Caenorhabditis elegans: one gene and its partner. The protein of the gene in region 1 purifies or fractionates together with the protein of each later gene. This does not show direct contact. Each region holds a gene or a part of one and is shown on either strand. Other genes may lie near its edges.

Region 1 (10,948 bases):
TCTGAAAATTTCTTTATATTTAAAACAGAACATACAAGGTTATTCAAAAATGTAAAGAGAATAACAATAGCGTAGAAGTAGATCTCAATTGGAAAATGATATACGACTTTTACCTGTATTTTAAGTAAAACAGGGGAGATATATGTGAAAAAGAAAAAAAACTAATAGGCCTGATGAAAGAAAACCTCTGTAGGCTATGTTCATAGTGTGTCGACATTTTATGGGTTTCGCTTGGTGACGTGTTTTGCATGGTTATTGGGTGGTCTCAATGTGTCAATGACTGAGTAATACATTGTTCCTTTATGAGTTCTTGAAAACAGTGTACGTTTTGCAAAGTGGTGTGCTAGTCTCATTAAAAAATATGATGTGAATTTGAATCGTTCTTGTGAATTATTCTTGGAAAAGTTTTGAAAAAGTTAACATAAAATAAATAATGTAGGGTTATAATTTAATTTCAAAAGTTAAGTTAAGTTGTTAAGTTGACTGTTATATGTTTAATTTTATTTTTCTATGGGTTTAAAGAGAGGCGCAATTAAGGATTGAAGTCTCGTCCCGCCTGTAAAATTACTGTAAAAAAGTACGCTTATGTTATTTTTCAAAATTAACTTTATTGATAATATGCTGGAAATTGCTATGAATATGACTAAATATCGTTGTAAAACTTTTAAAAAACATTGTGAAACTTTTTCTTTACAGACCGAAAGTGACAATCATTCTGTTTTCATAAATATTTTTACCTATCATAATAATTTGCAAAGTCGACCAAAAAGTCGACCACATTTGTTTTCAAAATCATGGTACTTTTCCAATAATTTTGCATTTCCCGCGAAAAAGTCACACGTAAACTAAATTTACTTTTTTTGCAATAAAGACCACCTGTCAATAAAAAACGTTGAATGTGACTTGCTACACGTTCATCTTGCTTTGAAGCGTAGCGTGCGGCAACGAAAAGTCATTGCAAATGTGTCACATTGACACTGATTCTTTCTTACATTTCTCCACGGATTTCACTATATGCTTAAATTTCCACTATATGCTTAAATTGTTAGGTCTTCGATGGAGAACATTGTTGCTTCTCTCGAAATTTATACTAGATTGTTTTTGAGATTTTTACAATGGTCAGAAAATAAAGATACTTTCTTTTAAAGTAAATAAATGCTCTATAAAGTTGGAAGAAATCTAGCAGGTGTTTTATCAAAATACTGAAAATAGAACAAAAATAACATTAAACTAAATAACTCTGAAATTATTCGGGTTTTTAAAAAATTATCAGTCAGCGTACTTGCGAATTGAAAATTTTCAAAAAATCGGGTAATTTGAACATTGCAGTGCAGTGTCCGATAGATACACAATGTTTAAGAACAAATAATTAAAGCAACATTAAAAAATGAAACTCGTAGAGTAAATACGGTTTACCTTTTCAAAGAGAGAGGTGGAAACTGAACAATTGCTACTTTTGTAGAACTGTTTGAAAATTAATATTTGATCATTTCAGGGCCATGTTCGTAATTTGAAACAATTTCCGTACTTTCACAACTCCACCTTTAATTCAAATAATACAATTTCGTAGATAATATTGAACTACATATAGTATATAAATTACTTGTAAACTTTCTATTGCCGCTCATATCAGTTGACAATCTGATAATTGATAGTCTCTGCCCTCCGAAATCATCCCCTCACGACGAAAAGGTCCGTGAGGGAAACATTATCTCTTTCCAGGTGTACGCAACTGATGATATTACACCAATCTCTTATCGAACAGAGATCAACGAAATATAAGTGATTGTGTGTAGAAGCACAGAGAAAAGGCACATGTGGTTATGTTATCCCACCAGTAATTTGAACTTATTTCGGGTGATCATCTCTTGGATTTTAGAGTCAAGTCACAAGAACTTTTACATTGTTCAATGGTAAACATCTTAAAGATGTATTACTTTTTTGTTACAAATGATGCTCCCGTTACTTTTTATTTTTTGTTACACGTTTCTTGGCAATCAGCCGCCATTATTTAATGGTATTAAAATCTCAGAAACGAATGATTTAGAGAATTGGCCCTTCCCTTACGGTTTGTAAGCTAGTTTAATATTACTTCCTTCTTGCTTATATTTTTTAAATTTAGTTTCACATAATATTTTTGAGTCTGAAAAAAATCAGATTCGCAACGAGTTCATGAACCATTAAAAACGCATTCGTTCTTGCATAAAATGGCTTTTTCACTGACGTCATTCTTTCCTTCCTCTTCATTTTTTCGCCCACGAGCTCTCTCTTTCTATGCTTATTTTTACTTCCGAAATTTTGAAGACGTTTTGATTGAGTTTTCAAAGGTTGTATTCTCAATGTGGGATAGTGATAAGTTTGACAAAACATTTTCATAATGATTCAAATAGAATTTCTGAATTGAAACTTTTATGTTTAGACATTTTGAAATTTACAACCAAAGTTTTTGAAAAATCATACTTACATTTTAGATGTCCCCCAATGTTGAATTGCAAATCATTAAAAGTTAATTAAAATATAAAATTCGTAGACAATGTTAAAGAAATAAAAAGAATGTTCAAAAATTTTTCGAGCTAAAACTGTTCTTATGAAATCTTGAGCTAAAAATTTACAACTCCGACACCAAGATTATACAATATTTTTTTGCGTTTTTACATAGCTTTGAAAAAAGAATACTTGGTCATTTTTTCACCATATAAGTGGTTTCAATAATTTTCCCAACTGGCAATACTCCATCAGTTAAAACCTGTGCAAATAGATACAGAGCCACTGTTTTAAAACCGAAATTTGCTAATATTTAGCTTTTTGTTGGATACTTCCTGGAAAAAAAATTAAATTTAAATACTGGGAAATCATCTGAATATTTTTACAAGTCGACAGTTGCTATGTACAATTTACAACTTTAAAATAACGTACTGGAAATCTACAAAAACTTCAAATCATTCTGTGAATGTAAATTTCTTTGCTCATATCCTTCTTCTCCGTCTCTCATCACTTAAATTTTGTTTGCATCGTTGCCCACTATTTTAATTAAGCTCATTTTCTCAATTTCCTCTACCATTTTCTTGTGTCCCAATCAATCATTTCTCACCCACGAAGTATGATGAATTGCCACGTCACACAAACACCGATAGATCTTTTTTCTTTCGCACTCTCTTTCTCATATCAGTTGTGTCAAGTAGACAGAGAGCAGCAGCATCTCGAGTGTCCCATTTTGACAAAAAAAAGATGGGAAGAGATGTTTGTAGTTTTGAGATGAATGATATACGTTTGGTTATTGTCCCAAAGGAATGGTATTATTGTGGAATGCTCTTTGACTCATTTGATTTTATAGAATAGTCTGACAATCTTCTGAAAATTCCTAAAGACCCCCCACAAGAGAAAAGGTATATTCCACATATAAGAACTACAGTATCAAATCATTTTCCAAGTTACTCTAGAGAACATTAGACTACATTATTTCAATAGTTATCAAATGACTTGAAAACGTTTTGAAATTGTTTTATTAACAGTCACTTCAGTTTCATCTTTGAAAAATGTCTAATTGTTTCAAACTATGGCACTTTGCCAAAACTCTGTTTGAAAATTTTGAAAAAATATGAAACATGTCAGAGTTGTTTTAATTTTGGCACTCTTGGAGTAAATTTTGGCTAAGTCATCTTGGCTTCTCAGCTATGGAAGTCAATTATGTTTTACAAACCCATTAACAATGAAATCACTGAAAAGTTTTATTTTATAGTTTTAAAAACAATGAAATTTAGATTTTTTGTCGTAAAGTGTTCATTTTCAAGAAAACCAACGTTACGGTCGTAAAATATTAAAAATCACAACATGAACGAACACGCCCACAACAGAGTTTAAAACATTTCCCGGAACCGTTTTTCAAGTTTTTTGGAAACTTTTTTTCCTGGAAAAACTCTTGTCACTTTCTGAACACAAACTTTTCTTATGCAAAAAAAATACAACTTTGGCACCAAGATGTTTTTGAAAACTTTTTAGAAAATGTTTCAAAAATCAGCCCTTGCAAAAATAATTCAATCTCAAATGATTTCATGGGCTTATATGTTTTTTTATTCTCCAAGTTTTGTGGATTCTAAGATTCTGTATGACAATAGTATCAAGTTGCCTCAATTTTCATTTCTCCGACTTGTTGTCCACCATCACAGTAATACGATTCTTTGTCTTGAAAAATGTGAGCCAATCATCTTTCATGCACAAGTACATTTTCTCGGCCATCTCGTCTAACACTTTCCCTCAAACTACTCTCGTTCGTCTGTCTTCTATTCTTTGCATACAACTCTCAAGAGTGTTTCTCTCATTTCAGCGCTACACAGAGACACAGACAACATCTCTCCGTTGCGAAACACAACGAGAAGAGTATATTGAAGAGTGAGACGGAGAGATACAATTTGGATTGCATAGCCAGCTGACGCTTCTCTCGTTTTCTCTCGTTCTCTCATTTTTCAAAAGGCCAGGGACGCAGATTCATTGATCGACAACGACGGCGACGCGGCGGCGCGAGACGCGTCCCTTTATTTCTTCTTTTTCTAGTCAGCTTCTGTTATTCTGAACGTCTACAAAGGGCTTCATCCCTCAATTCTTCCACCAAAATGGTGGAACTGTGCGAACTGCACATGATGCCTGAAGAGGATCAATGGCCCGATGACATTGATGCTCGAATCGCTGCTCTCAACTTTTGTGGAGAAGATTCGATGCTCTTTGAATCAGTTGATCCTTCTGTATCAACTGATTCTTTAGACTCTCAACAGTTTCGAGAGAGATGTCAAATGAAAAAAGAAGATTTTCAATTAGCATTCGCAGACTCTGGACATTGGCAATCAGGTATAAATGATAATCTGACAACTTGGGGTCGGATTCGGACATCTGAACCATTGGATGAACGTACTGCCAGTGCTCCAGATGTTTGGAATGTAAAAAGAAGTGATAGTGCTCGATCACCAAATCGTCCAAATTCACTGATTGCCAACTTTGTTTCCGGAGATGCTACTCGATTCGTCGATGTAAATGATAATGAAATTCGCGAGGCAAATGAAGAAATAATTCGTAAAGATCGTTGGAGAAGAGATTCAGCGAGACGATGCTCATCTGGAGGACAAAATCAGAAACGAACATTTGCGGATATTCTGGAAAAGAATGTAACAGCACCAACTTCAATGGCAATCACATCGTCTGATAATGAAAAGCCTCCGAAATTAGACTTCCTGGCAATGCATCATGAGGTCAGTTTTTTTTTCGTAAGTGATAAGAGACGGGTGATAAATTTTGTCTGTATTGTGTTCTGCGGCAAAGATCGAGGTGGTCGGAGCGTTCTTTTTTCTTTCGATGCAACGTTTTAAGTTTTTCCAAAAAATAAATCATCTTCACTTTTTTCCGCAGTAAAGAAAATAAACAATTTTTTCAAAAAAATAATTTAAAGAATTTATTTTGATACATTTGAATTTCATCAACATTCACCGTATTTCTCCTACTAATCTTGCTCTTTTTCGGTTTACTTTAACAGTTTATATCTGGCCGTCGGGATATAAACTGTTAAAGTGGTTCAATACTGACAAGACTGATAAATAAAAATACTGTCTGACAGAATATACAAAACCTATGTATCTTGGGAATAGCTGTCAACTGACAAATAAAAACATTGTGTTAATGACTACAAGTATTTATTGCTAGTTTATTTTCTAGTCAACACATTTTTTTCAAAAACTAAATTCTAAAGTCTAAATTTGCAAATACTTAGATAGTATCATCGGTTGGTCATCACATTCCTTCCCATTTAAAAACAATTTTGTAGGTCGATGTTATTTTTGAGATAATGATCCTAACAGAATATAATTTTTAAAAGAAAAAACAGAAAGTATCCCGTCGGGATGCAAATGAAGAAGCAAGAAATAAACATCAATCTTACATAATCCAATCCGCGACAACCAAAATTGTTATCGGTTTCTTTTTTGTGTCAACGTCGCCGCTGTAGTCGTCGCGCCGCACTTATCATACCCATTCATTTGATCGATTGACTGCGTTCGTTTCTATTTTTTAATGTTTCATATACGGACGCATGTCTAGATAATGTCTTTTAGTAGTAGTGTAACCATGAGAAATTAGAACATGCATTCAAACTTTATAATTAAATAAATTAATTTTTAGATGCCATCTCTCTGCGAGTCATTCACCGCTTCGTTCCGTGATGCTATTATTAAAATGCAGAAATGTGAGCCACTACCGTCGATTACTTCAACCAATGATTTTCCGCTCTTCTTTCAAGTAAGTTCTTGTTTTTAGCATTGAAAAATAAACTTAACCATGAGATAAATTGAACAAGTTTTCCCTATTGTGCAGAAGTCTGATTATCAGCTAAAATAGGATACCTATTCCAATAAGCTGCTTTAATTGCTGTTTTAATGCTGTTTTAATAAGCAGGTAAGATCATAAAAACTCAAAGTGCATGCAATTTTAAACAAGAAAATCTTCAGTGGTGATTTAGTAAACATATTTGCATAATAGTCAACCAAGTATCCTTTTTCAACTTTCCAAATTTTTAGTAAAAATTTTAAAAAGTTGTCAAAAATTCCAAAATTGACTTTAGATATGTAAAAGCCTGATTAATTTTTTCGAAAAGTTTTACCACGATATAATACTTTTAAATGGTTTTCCATTCGCAGCTTTAACTAAATATAAGTATAAATTTAATTGTTCCTACAGTAGTTATCCCCATGAACTCATTGTGGCACGTAATCTGATATTTCTCAGTCTCTAATACTCTCACATTATTTGTTTCCATTAATTATTCATCCTTTTCTTTTTCAGGAAGACTCTCCCGACTCAGGACTCGGTTGTAGTGGTCCGAGCCACATTGAAGATTGGCAATCTCTATCTGTTCTTCTGCCCAAGTGAGTCACGTTTTTCATTCGATTTTCCCTTTTTTCTTTCGCTCGCTCATTTTTCATTTTTCGCCGGCTTAATCTCAAGATTATTTCGCGCCCCGGCACTCTTTTATTGAAGGGAAACATTGGAGAAAAATAAGAGACGCAGAGATTTTTCACATTTTCTTTCTTCCCGTTAACCCAGTCGGAGAAAAGATGGCGCAGGGAAGATTGGGAAAAGAAAGGACTTTTTCTGTGGGGTGAACGGAAATTGAGGGAAGAAAACTGAAATGGGCACGTGATTGACTTTTTTGAAAATTGGTCAATCTATCGGAAAAGGTTAAAGGTGGAGATTGTGAGTGTGGATTTAGTTTTAAAATACTCAAACTAGTCTATAACCCTGAAACAACTCAAAAGAAAAACGAAAGAAACTAGTGAGAATGGAAAATAATGTTTTTTTTAATTGAAAAAATAGATTTTTCTGTTTTGGCTAATTTTTCTTTGTTTAAATTACCTCCGAAATGAGAATTTCAAGCCGATCAACGATTCGCTTTTTCAATCAATCATATGGATTGCTGAAACCTTTAAGACGTTGATTGTTTTGAAACTACTTGAGGTTTTTAGCTTTGTTTTAGGTTTTTTGGCATTTTAAACAAAACACTATTAACGCTTTGAGAATCACATCAAAACTAAAAATATTTTCTTAATTGTAATGTTTCAGACACGTCGCAGAAGCATGTTCATTCTTCAAGAGCAACACCCAATTATTAACATCAAGTACATCAAAAACAGCACCCCAAACATCAACAAACATCGTATCAAATTGCATTGATCGCCGTATCTCTGGTATTTCAGCATCAGCAAATGAAGCATGTCGAACGTGTTATCGAGTACGAAGGAGGTAAGAATCTTTTGATTTTTATGAGCTATTTGAGAAGCTAACGGCTAATTGCTTTAGGGTGACGAAACGTTTGATGACCAATCGTTAAAATAGTATACAAGACACATGTTGTGTAATAAATGTGTATCTCACTATTTGTTAGAATATGGTTTTCTGTCTTAAAATATTCATAACAATTTTTTTCAGGATACACCCACCAGTTTGGGCTCAAACTGCCCAATCAAAGACGGTTCTTTGTGACTGCGCATCAACACCCACGGATACGAATTTCTCATTTGCACCAACAACGTAAGCTTCTTCTTCACTGACTCTATTATGCTCTTTAATCTTCCATTTGACCCTCATCATCAATCACTTACCCGCGCACATTCACTTCTTTTCATTCTCTTCCTTCTTTCGAAATCTCATTTCTCATTTCAGTTCAACGACTCGCCATCAACTGCGCGCAAAAGAGCTCTCAATTGTCGGATTGCCGATTTATGCAGCAAAGCGGACACTCGTTGAGAATGTTGTTGAAGGCGTTGCTGCAATTTCAAGAGGGGATGGAAGTGATTTGCTTGTCATGTAAGAAATATTTTTTAATATTAAATATGAGGGTCTGCAACTTTAAAGAAACCCTGAAAATGTAAAAAAAAATGGAAAAATAGTCCAGTTCAATAAAAAATACTCAAAATAGACTCTTATTAATACAAATTAAAATGTTTCAACATTTTCAGCGCCATGAGATGCTTAATTGAAGATGGTCTTCAAGAAAATGTATCGGCATGGACAATGATTCAGACGGTTACCTCAAAAGGCCCAGCTACAAAAGATGTTCATTCAATTGTAAAACAATTGGAAGAATGTTCAAAGACTGACAACGTCAAAGTTGAAATCTTCTTTGAGGAGCTTATCAGGTAATCGGAGAAAATAGAAATATAATCGTTCAAGTAAGAGTTACAGAGAAAACTCATTGGACTGCTGGCTGTGCTATATTGTGTTGAAAGAGAAGGTGCTGAAAACATTGTATTCTGAAAATGCATTCCTTCTTTCTGCGAGTTCTGAATACAGAACTCTTCTTTGGAGAATGGTCGACAGTTTGTCTCTTTTGCCAGGTAATTCTAGTTTTCATTAACAACAACTTAAATGAATGTATATCTAAAATGCCCCAATAGTTCCCTTTTTGAAATTTGCACATTGATATTTTTAGTGATCGAAGCTCGCAGTGATTCAGTTCACCAACAGTTCAAATCAATGCAACAATGGGGCGGAGCATCCAGAATAGCTTCTGACTCAAGAGTTCCAAAGAGTTCATCGTTCCCAGCAAGATTATCAACTGCTCCATCAAGAAGATCAAGGATACCATTGTCAACAAGGTAATTTGTTTGTTTTTTCATTGCAAAATTGGCAGACTTCGAAACGAGACATGTCTTATTTAAAAGTTTATATGCATTTAGACCAGGATATCAAAAAATTTTAAGCAAAGCTCAGCAACCACACTCTAAAAATTTCGCTCTGAAATTTCTTCAGTGAATTTTTTCGCTGTAATTGTGCCTCATTTTTAAGAGTGTTGGGTAGATATTCTGAATTATTTTTGGCAATTGATTTGATTCTAAAAAAATCAACAAATGCAATCAAAAGCTCTCTTGATCTTTGACAACTCTTAACCACTTTTCAATTTTTCAGTCGCATCAGTATCAGCTCAACAACTTCAACACCTCGATCAGCTCGATCACCTTCAACGACATCTCGTATTCGAGTTGCATCTATAATGGGTGACTTCACACTTGCCAATTTCTCCCTCTCAGACGGAGAAAAAGTTAGTGTTCTATCAACTCGTGGAGGACTTGCTCGATGTGTCCGTTTAACGACTTCTCATTCAAAAATCAACAATGGAGTTATTCCGATTGAACATCTTCTTTTCCAGTGAACACTCTGTACTTTATTTTTTTCTTGAACTTTAATTTTTTTCCGATGCTTCATATAATTCTAGTCATGCCACCCAATTCAACCGAGTTTGATCCCCCATCCCATGCATTCATCGTTTTCCCTCAATGATACTCATTTCTTTTTCATGTTCAACTGAATTCATGAAAAATGTTTGAAAACTTTCAAATATTTTTTTGAATTTAAAAGTCATTAGATAGCCTCTCTTTTCCCTCCGGTTTCCTCCAATTTTGCTCCTTCTATCTTCGTATAGAAGAAAATTGCTTTATTTCCTTCCTTTTTCAGCTAAAATCGAGGCAACTATTGGATTCTTTGCAGCTTGCCAAAACATTATTCAATAACAAAAACGAAAATGTTTATTTGTATTTTGGAATAGAGCCAATCGGATTTGTATTGTTTTTGAAAATAAACAATAAATAAAATGCATTTAATTATTAATTTTAAATTTGGAAAAGTTATTAAATAATCTAAAATGTTTGAAAATGAACTTAAAAATGAAAAAACATACAAATAATTTTGTAATTTGGTTTTTTTTTTACACTTTTTGGATTTCAGTGGCGTTGCAATATAGCCTTCAATAATTTTCAAAGATCACCGGGCGTAACATTTAATGATTAATAGTAATTCAACGAATCACAAATTACAACAATTCACAAATATTTACCAAAAACATTTTGATCTTAAGATGTTTTTTTTTTATCTGAACTAGTTTCCATTAGTGTCTCATGTCGAATGATGTGATAAGAACGAATTATTTCGAGATAACAATAACATTTGAAAATCCTATAAAAGGGGGTGAGAAAATTGTAAAAAGCAAGAAGTTCTTACACTGAATTTCCAAATCTAATATGAATTTCACAATTCTTCTTGTTTTTCTGATGGCTGTTGTAGGTGAGTTCCTGTGATTTAGATAAAATTCCTATTTTCTTGTAAAGTTTTTTTAGTTGAAATTGAAGTAGCTAAATACCGCTTATAAGTATATATTTTACCGTTCTAAAAACTGAAAATGACTCCAAAAGACTGAGTTTGAGAATGGAATAATAAATAAACTTTGACAAATTTAAAAAAGGTCTCATAAGAGAAAAGTTTTGAAAAACTTTGTTAAAATTATAATTTTTACCCATGGTTGGCAACGAGATTAATACATTTTGGTCCTTTTTTATAATGTTTAGTGCTAAAATATTTAAAAAAAAACCTCGTATCGAGAAACTCTAAAAAATTTTAAGTGTTAATTCATTCATAT
Region 2 (7,311 bases), on another chromosome or scaffold:
TTTCTAGTGTATGTTTTCCCTTTACAAGTTAGGTAGGTGTTACAGGAAAACAATTTAAAATAGTTTTTTTTCTAAAGATACTCACCTCCTATGATTCACATCTCACATTATGTTGGAAACACTTGCATGACAATTTACGAGATTTCGAATTTATCTCATTTATTGATTGCTCTCAATCGATTCTGCGTGCTATTTTTTCAGCATCGATATGAGCAACTTTTCAGGTAATTTTGAGCAATAAGTGGTGCGGGCGATATGGGGGAGGCACGTGGTGTCAGGCAGTACCATTTGATCTACAAAATGCGGGATTTTTTTGCCCAGGAAAGTGCGGCGTCGGCACGCTGTTAACCATGCAAAATCGGTTTAGAAATCGGCGTCTAAATTATCGCAAATCTCGCAGGTCAAACCGAAATGTGACACTCTGACACCACGTGTGGAGAGCGTAAAAAACGTCTATCTTCCGTGGGTGCCTAAAACAGCAAGTTAGTAACACATATTCGTGCACCAGACATCTCCCGGGTTCCGCCACAAGATGCGCTGTCTTGAAACCCTGCAGATGTCGGGCGCTAGCCGTAGTCACATTTCTCTCTTCCAGTAACCCGAACACAGTAATCATGCGGAATTACTTGTGGATAACTTGTATTATATTTTGTGCAGTCTGCTATGAGTTCTCCAAGTGCTTCCTCAAATACAACCCCAACCACTGGTCATTCGAATTTGAGAATTCGGATTTTTGCGATTCTCTGATCTGGTATTCGGATTTCCTTTTCAACACGGGAATCGATATAATCACTTTGTTTCTGAATTTACTGACTGCTTACAAAGGAAGAAAACAGTCACGAGTTCTGATAAATGCGGCCGGATTGAAAGTTTCCGCGATTCAACGGAGAAGAGAATGGAATTTTGTGAAGCAGACCTGTTTTCAAGGCTTATCGATATTTACAGGCCAGGTTGCTTTTTATTTTGTGGCTCCAGTCATTGATGCAGACTGGGTCATTGCTCAATTTATTGCTGCTACTTTTTGGGTGTTTATCCATGCCGCAGAGGGGTGAGTTTCAGGCCTACCTGAGTGCCTACAGGTCATATCACAGTTGCTTTCCAAACAATTTCAGAGGAATAATTTTGGCGTCTAATGGAGAACTGAGAGCTGCTTTTAAGAAAGGTATCAGCCAATTTATTCATTTCACTTAATTTGTTTTCAATTCAGAATCCACTGCAGTTTTCGTGATTGTTCGGAGGGTGTCGGTTTTGTAATTTTTTTGGTATTCTTCTCCACGAGAAGTTTTTGATGAATTTATCAAAAACTTTTTCGGAAAACACATTTTAATAGAAAATTAATGAATATCTCACCCAGCAATAAGATTTTTTTCACTAGAAGCTATAATTTTTCTGAAATTAATATATAAAAATTCCCTTAAAAATGGGAAATTCTCAAAAAATACAGCAACGTTTCTGAAAAATCAATAAATTTTTAAAAGAAGTTCAATTTCCAATGTAAATATGAATTATCCGAAAAAAAATCATAAATATACAAAACAATTGAATTTTCAAAAAAATCGATAGATTTTCAGAAAACTACATTTTTAAGAAAAGAGGTGATTGTAGAAAGACAAGTGCTAGGCAGGCACGTAGGCAGGCAGGCGGCAGGCAAGCAGGCACGTAGGGAGAAATATTCTTATTTTCGTTTAGATGATTTGTTTCAAAATTACATGTATTAACATATTAATTTTTAAAAATTCCGTGAATACGAGTTATACATTAAAAGATTCCATTTATTTTCTGATTTTGCTTCTGCACCTTCTGAGACGAATTTTCTTTACTATTATTTTTCTCGATGTCCAAACAAGTATCATATACGAGTTGTTTCCCTCTAAAATCTGGTGCAAGACATTGGAAAGTCATGCAAAGGTATTGAAAACCGTCATAAGCCTTGTTGGTGACATTGTACAAGGATAGGAGGTCAGTGAGCCGAGAAGGTGCGGATTTTTGGCATGTTGACTGACAATATTGGAGCAATGCAGAGCAGTAACGCTTTTGATGTCGGGATAGTGTCTCCTTAGCTTTTTCAGATAGCTCATCGGAAATTGCTGAACAATTTTTTTTAGAAAATTGAAATGCGAATTCCAGCCAAAATTGTTTGAAAAAAATATTTTTATTTTCAAAAAATATTTTTAAAAGGAAATTGTAAACGTTAATTTCTCGCCAAATTGTTCTTAAAATTGAGTATGGCAATTGTTCTAAAAGCTAAAGTATTAAATTCAAGGAAATTCAAATTTTTGCGCAAATTAAAAACATTAAAAAAAAACTATCCCGAAATTTGAATTTTAAATTTGAAAAGTTTCGGCGAGAAATAATAAAAATATCGTTTTAAAAAGTTTGGTAAAAATTGCACATTTTAATTTTTGAAACAAATTTTTGTCAGGAAATTAAAATTAAAATTTTTTACAAATTGATGCGAGAAATTCAAACAAAAATCTTGCAAAAAAATATGGCCGGGAAGTCCAAATTTTAATTTTTCAACAAAAATTGGTATTAATTTTTTTTGCATTTTTTTGTCAAATAGTTTCGACTGAAAACTTTTTTAAATGTTCAAAAAATCTTTGGTGCCAAATTAAAATTTCAATTTTTAAACAATTTTTCGCCGAAATTTTAATTTTGATTTTGAAAAGTTTTGTCTTGAACGAAGTTATAACCTTAAAAAATTGGGCAGGAGGTTCAAACTTAAATTTTTCAAAACATATCTTGGCGAAAAAATTTCAACTCAAATCTGTGTTTTAAGCAATTTTTCCTTCATTTTTGCTATGCAGAACTCACCAGGATTGCAAAAGAAAATCAGCGCCAATAGAATGCACTCCTCATTTGTAATATTCAACTCTATAAACTTATAAAGCACCATGCAAGATGTCTGATCCAAAAGCGCCGGAGTCTTTTCGAATATTCTACGAAATATCGGCAGGTAGACATCTTCACCGCTTGGAGTTACCAAATATGCTCTTTTTGCAGTGAAGCATCGCATTGCTTCAGTCATACATCCCATGCGTAGAGCATTGTATTTGAAAAGGATTACTTTGTCATTCAAACTCAACTTATTTATGAACTCGAAATCCATAAAATAGGAAATCCTCGCATGGATCCCCAAGAATGCCCAGTCATGGGAATCGGTGACGGTGTGAGGTGTCCGCTTTTTCATTTTCATCACATTCGAGTTTTTTAGAACATCCACTAAAGAAGGGTCCTCATTTGAGTAGTAGTTGATGAATTTTGTGTAGTTTTTCCCATCTTTTATTGTTAGCTCTTTTAAAAGGAGCTCCAGCTTCTGATCGAGATTATTAAAATTTTGAGCAAGTTGTCCCCGGAATGAGTAAAATGTCATGCCAAAGTTCAGGCATTTTTGAAAACGACAAGCTCGGCATTTCCGTTGAGCAATTGAGCACTGATTGTCCTTCTTGCAGTTGTAGCTCAATTTTTTCTCAGCAGATCTTCGGAAAAACATCTTGCACGCGGAGCAAGTCAATGCCTATAAAAGAAAAATTACCAAAAATATAACGATTCAAATTTTTTAAAATAAAATGTAATTTCTTTAAAAATTATTTTGCTTCCGAAATATAGATTTTTTTCACATTCATTTTCCCAACTTTCCCAGGGTAATATTTTGAAAGTTTAAGAAAAAGTTTTGGTAATTTGTCAAAAATTTAAAAACTTTAACTTTTTGAGCTATTTTCAGAATTTTCAAAACGAAGTTAAAATATAAAATTAATTTTTAAAAATCGGATTTTTTGGTCGTTTATTAAAACTAAAAGTGAGAAAAAATTAATACATTTTATTGTAAAATTTTAATATTGAAATATTTTTTTCCACTAAACTAATTTTAACTCACCCCATAATTCATCCCCAACGCCGATCCAAAACATATCACACACTTTTCTCTTACAAGAACACTTTCCTCGGTCTTGAAATTAGCAATACTTGCGTAGTTAGTCATAATTGAAGCCTGAAAACTCAGAGAGCAAGTGCCAACTCCGGCTCTTTTATATATAGAATTTTGGAGGAGGAAGTGAGGCAGAGATCTTTAACACAATATGTTATGCTTTTGATACTTTGATCACGGGATTTGCAGCAGAAATCACAAATGTAAAGTCGTTTCTTTTAAATACGCATGAAAGTGAAGTGCATTCTTATGCACTGACACATAAGTTCTGATCTATTGATAACTTGGTAAAGATTTATCAGCTGGAGTTGTCTAGTGATCTTCCGATTTTATGCACAAAATTTTTGATTTTTTGAAATGCTCCAATTTTACCGTTGATCATAGAGTTATGGAGACTTTAGGAAATTTTGTTAGAAGAGAATTCCCTAGATATATGTATTATAGAAAAAATACAATCGCACAAAAATAAACAACGACGCAACGACACTCCGCTATTTTTAAGCCCCTCCCACGATTTCATTTGCACTGAAATGTGGCGGCCGCAGTGCAAATGAAATCGTGGGAGGGGCTTAAAAATAGCGGAGTGTCGTTGCGTCGTTGTTTATTTTTGTGCGATCGTATTTTTTCTATAATAGTTTCTTGCAAAACTCACAAAATCCTGAAAAAATGAATTTTGTAATTTTTGAAAAATTGATAGCTTTGAAAATTGCCGGTTGCCGGAAGTTTTCAATAGCACCCCAGTATGATTACTCCAAATTTTTTTATTAGCAAAAAAATTGAAAGAAATCAAAAACAATTGTCATGTGTATGATTAAGTATGATGTGAGTTCTAAAAGGTAAACATATCGTATTATTACACGGTGTCAAAAAAAAAAAACATCCTGCGTCATTCTCTTGAACTTGGATCGGAACATTGAAGCATCATGTTCAAATAGTTTGAATTATCAACCGACTTGTTCACTATTCCAAAAAGTGATAAAAGCTCTGCGAATCGAGTTGGTGCAGATTTCGAATATTCCAGCTGGCAAAAACGAAGCAAAGCAGAGCAGTAGGTTTGTTGATGTGAGGATAAAACGAATTTTGTTTTGTCGCATAGATCACTCGTGCTATAGAGATTAAAATTTCAAAAAATTATAAAATTAGATTTTCAAAAACCAAAACTTACAGGTGTTACAAAACATGAGCAGTGTTAGAAGAAAATACTCTTCTTGTTTGATTTTCAATTCTGTAAACTTGGCGATCACTTGTCCCGACACTTGATTCAGAACAGCTGTAGAACTTCCACAAAGATTATACATTTCAGATGGAAAAATATCAGCATCATTCGGAAATGTTAATTTCGATTTGTTTTTGTTTTATGAGCACATGGCTAGTGCTAAGCATCCAGCTCTCAAAATATTATATTTAAACAGTGTATTTTTGTCAATCTAGGTCTCGAATAAAGTTGAAATCGAGAAAATAGGATATTCGAGTGTAAGACAACATATTTCAGTTTTGTTGAACGTTAATTTTAGTCTCGGATGTCTGGAAAAAAATATATGAGTGCTGTTGAAATTGCAGAATTTTAGCAAACCCTTTTTACAAATTTCATGATAATTTTATCATGTAATATCTCGGACAAGCTCGGATCCTCCAAAGAATAGAAGTTTATAAATTTTAAATAATTTCGAGCGTTTTTAAATTTCAAATCATCCAACAACTTGACAAAGTTATAATCAGACTGATTGCCAATATTAACTATTTGATCATTTGAAGGAGCTAGCTTCATTCCTAAATTCAAGCATTTTTGGAATCGACAGGCTCGGCATTTTGGGTGAGTTTTGAAGTGGATAGTGCAAATTTGGATACGTTTGCATCGAAATAACAGTTTTTTGTACACTGTTCTGTGGAAAAACATTTTGCAAGCAAAACAAGACATCGCCTAAAATTCGAAATTTTTGTGGTTTGATCTACATGTCATCAAGCAGTTTTCGAGGTCATCAAGCAGTTTTCGAGACTTACGCCATAGTTTCTATTGGTTGCACGTCCAGAGCATACCAAGCAATGCATAATGTCAAACTCAAATTGTAGTTTTTTTTCAAAACTGGAAAAAAAACTAAAAAAAGTGAGTAAACGTGAAAAGTTTTTTTTTTTTCAAAATGAAGAATTTGAAGCACAAGCGAGATCACATTCAGTCATCACCCAGACAGAAAAGTATATGGCACGAGTATGAAATATCTTAAAAATAAATGAATTACGTATGTATTTTGGATCAGAAAGTTCAAAAAATGTTCTCTATTCATAAAGTTGATATATAGTTTGATCCAAAAAAATTTTCTCGTCATAAGTTAGAATTGGAAAACCTTAAGATTCGCACCATCTCTTATACCTAATTTTAGAAACACAAACAATTCTTAATTTTTTTTATTAATAAAAACCAGTAAACGTTTGAAAAACAGACAAAAAAAATTCATTATGACAATGTATGAGAGAAAATATCTTGCATTAGCCGTTTAAAATTAAATTTTGGATTATAACATTGCACCATCATGCTCAAAAAGCTCATGTTATTCACAGATTTGTTAACTATTCCAAAAACTGATAGAAGCTCTGTGAACCGAGTTGGTGCAGATTTTGAATATTTCAGCTGGCAATAACGGAACAAGGCAGAGCAGTAAACCTGTTGGTGGGATGATAGAATGAGTTTTGTCTTGTGGGAGAAGTTATTGGTTATTGCTGTAAATTAAAGATTATGAAATGTGAAAACTAGTTAAATGATATTTTCAAAAAAAAAACAATTTCTAAAACTGAAACTTACATGCATTGCAAAACATGACCAATAATAGCAGCAGATACTCTTCTTGTCTGATTTCCAATTCGATAAACTTGGCGATGACTTGCCCCGACACTTGATTCAGAACAGCTGTAGAACTTCCACAAAGATTATACATTTCAGATGGAAAAATATCAACATCGTTTGGAAATGTTAACTTTGGTTTGTTTTCACTGTATGCACACATGGCAAGTGCTAAGCACCCTGCTCGCGAGACATTATACTTGAACAGTGTATTCTTGTCGCTGGAATCTAGTTCTCGAATAAAGTTGAAATCTAGAAAATAAGATATTCGAGAGTATGCCAGCATATTCGACCATTGGTCGACGTCGTTGAGTGTCTCGGGTGTCTGAAAATATATATGTTACTCAAGCTTAGGCATTGGGATTCTTTTCTAGTTAGATCCGCTCTATTTCTTCTGCTAATCTGAAATAAAACTTATCGAAAAATGAGCAACTAACCCTTCTCACAAGTTTCATAATACTTCTATCCTCTATAATATCCTTCAAGCTCGGATCCTCCAACGAATAGAAATCAATAAAATTTGAATAGTTTTTATCATTTTTCACAA

Evidence for each region. Proteins that work in one complex are often made in the same cells at the same time.
Region 2: the proteins of unc-14 (region 1) and nhr-198 fractionate together in Caenorhabditis elegans (co-fractionation; one large-scale study listed by BioGRID). This does not show direct contact.

Annotation. Positions count from the first base shown.
Region 1 is NC_003279.8:7,121,800-7,132,747, reverse strand, and holds unc-14 (RUN domain-containing protein), read left to right. Parts: upstream 1-4,501; 5' UTR 4,502-4,610; coding exon 4,611-5,240; intron 5,241-6,162; coding exon 6,163-6,279; intron 6,280-6,822; coding exon 6,823-6,905; intron 6,906-7,599; coding exon 7,600-7,779; intron 7,780-7,965; coding exon 7,966-8,067; intron 8,068-8,199; coding exon 8,200-8,343; intron 8,344-8,495; coding exon 8,496-8,675; intron 8,676-8,721; coding exon 8,722-8,873; intron 8,874-8,968; coding exon 8,969-9,134; intron 9,135-9,444; coding exon 9,445-9,688; 3' UTR 9,689-10,134; downstream 10,135-10,948. Other genes in the region: K10D3.8 (uncharacterized protein), read left to right, coding at 10,554-10,596.
Region 2 is NC_003283.11:15,690,665-15,697,975, reverse strand, and holds nhr-198 (Nuclear receptor domain-containing protein), read right to left. Parts: upstream 3,983-7,311; coding exon 3,878-3,982; intron 3,518-3,877; coding exon 2,815-3,517; intron 2,088-2,814; coding exon 1,759-2,087; downstream 1-1,758. Other genes in the region: srx-29 (7TM GPCR serpentine receptor class x (Srx) domain-containing protein), read left to right, coding at 1-32, 78-224, 596-1,048, 1,113-1,191; Nuclear hormone receptor family member nhr-268, read right to left, coding at 6,381-6,643, 6,726-7,089, 7,202-7,311.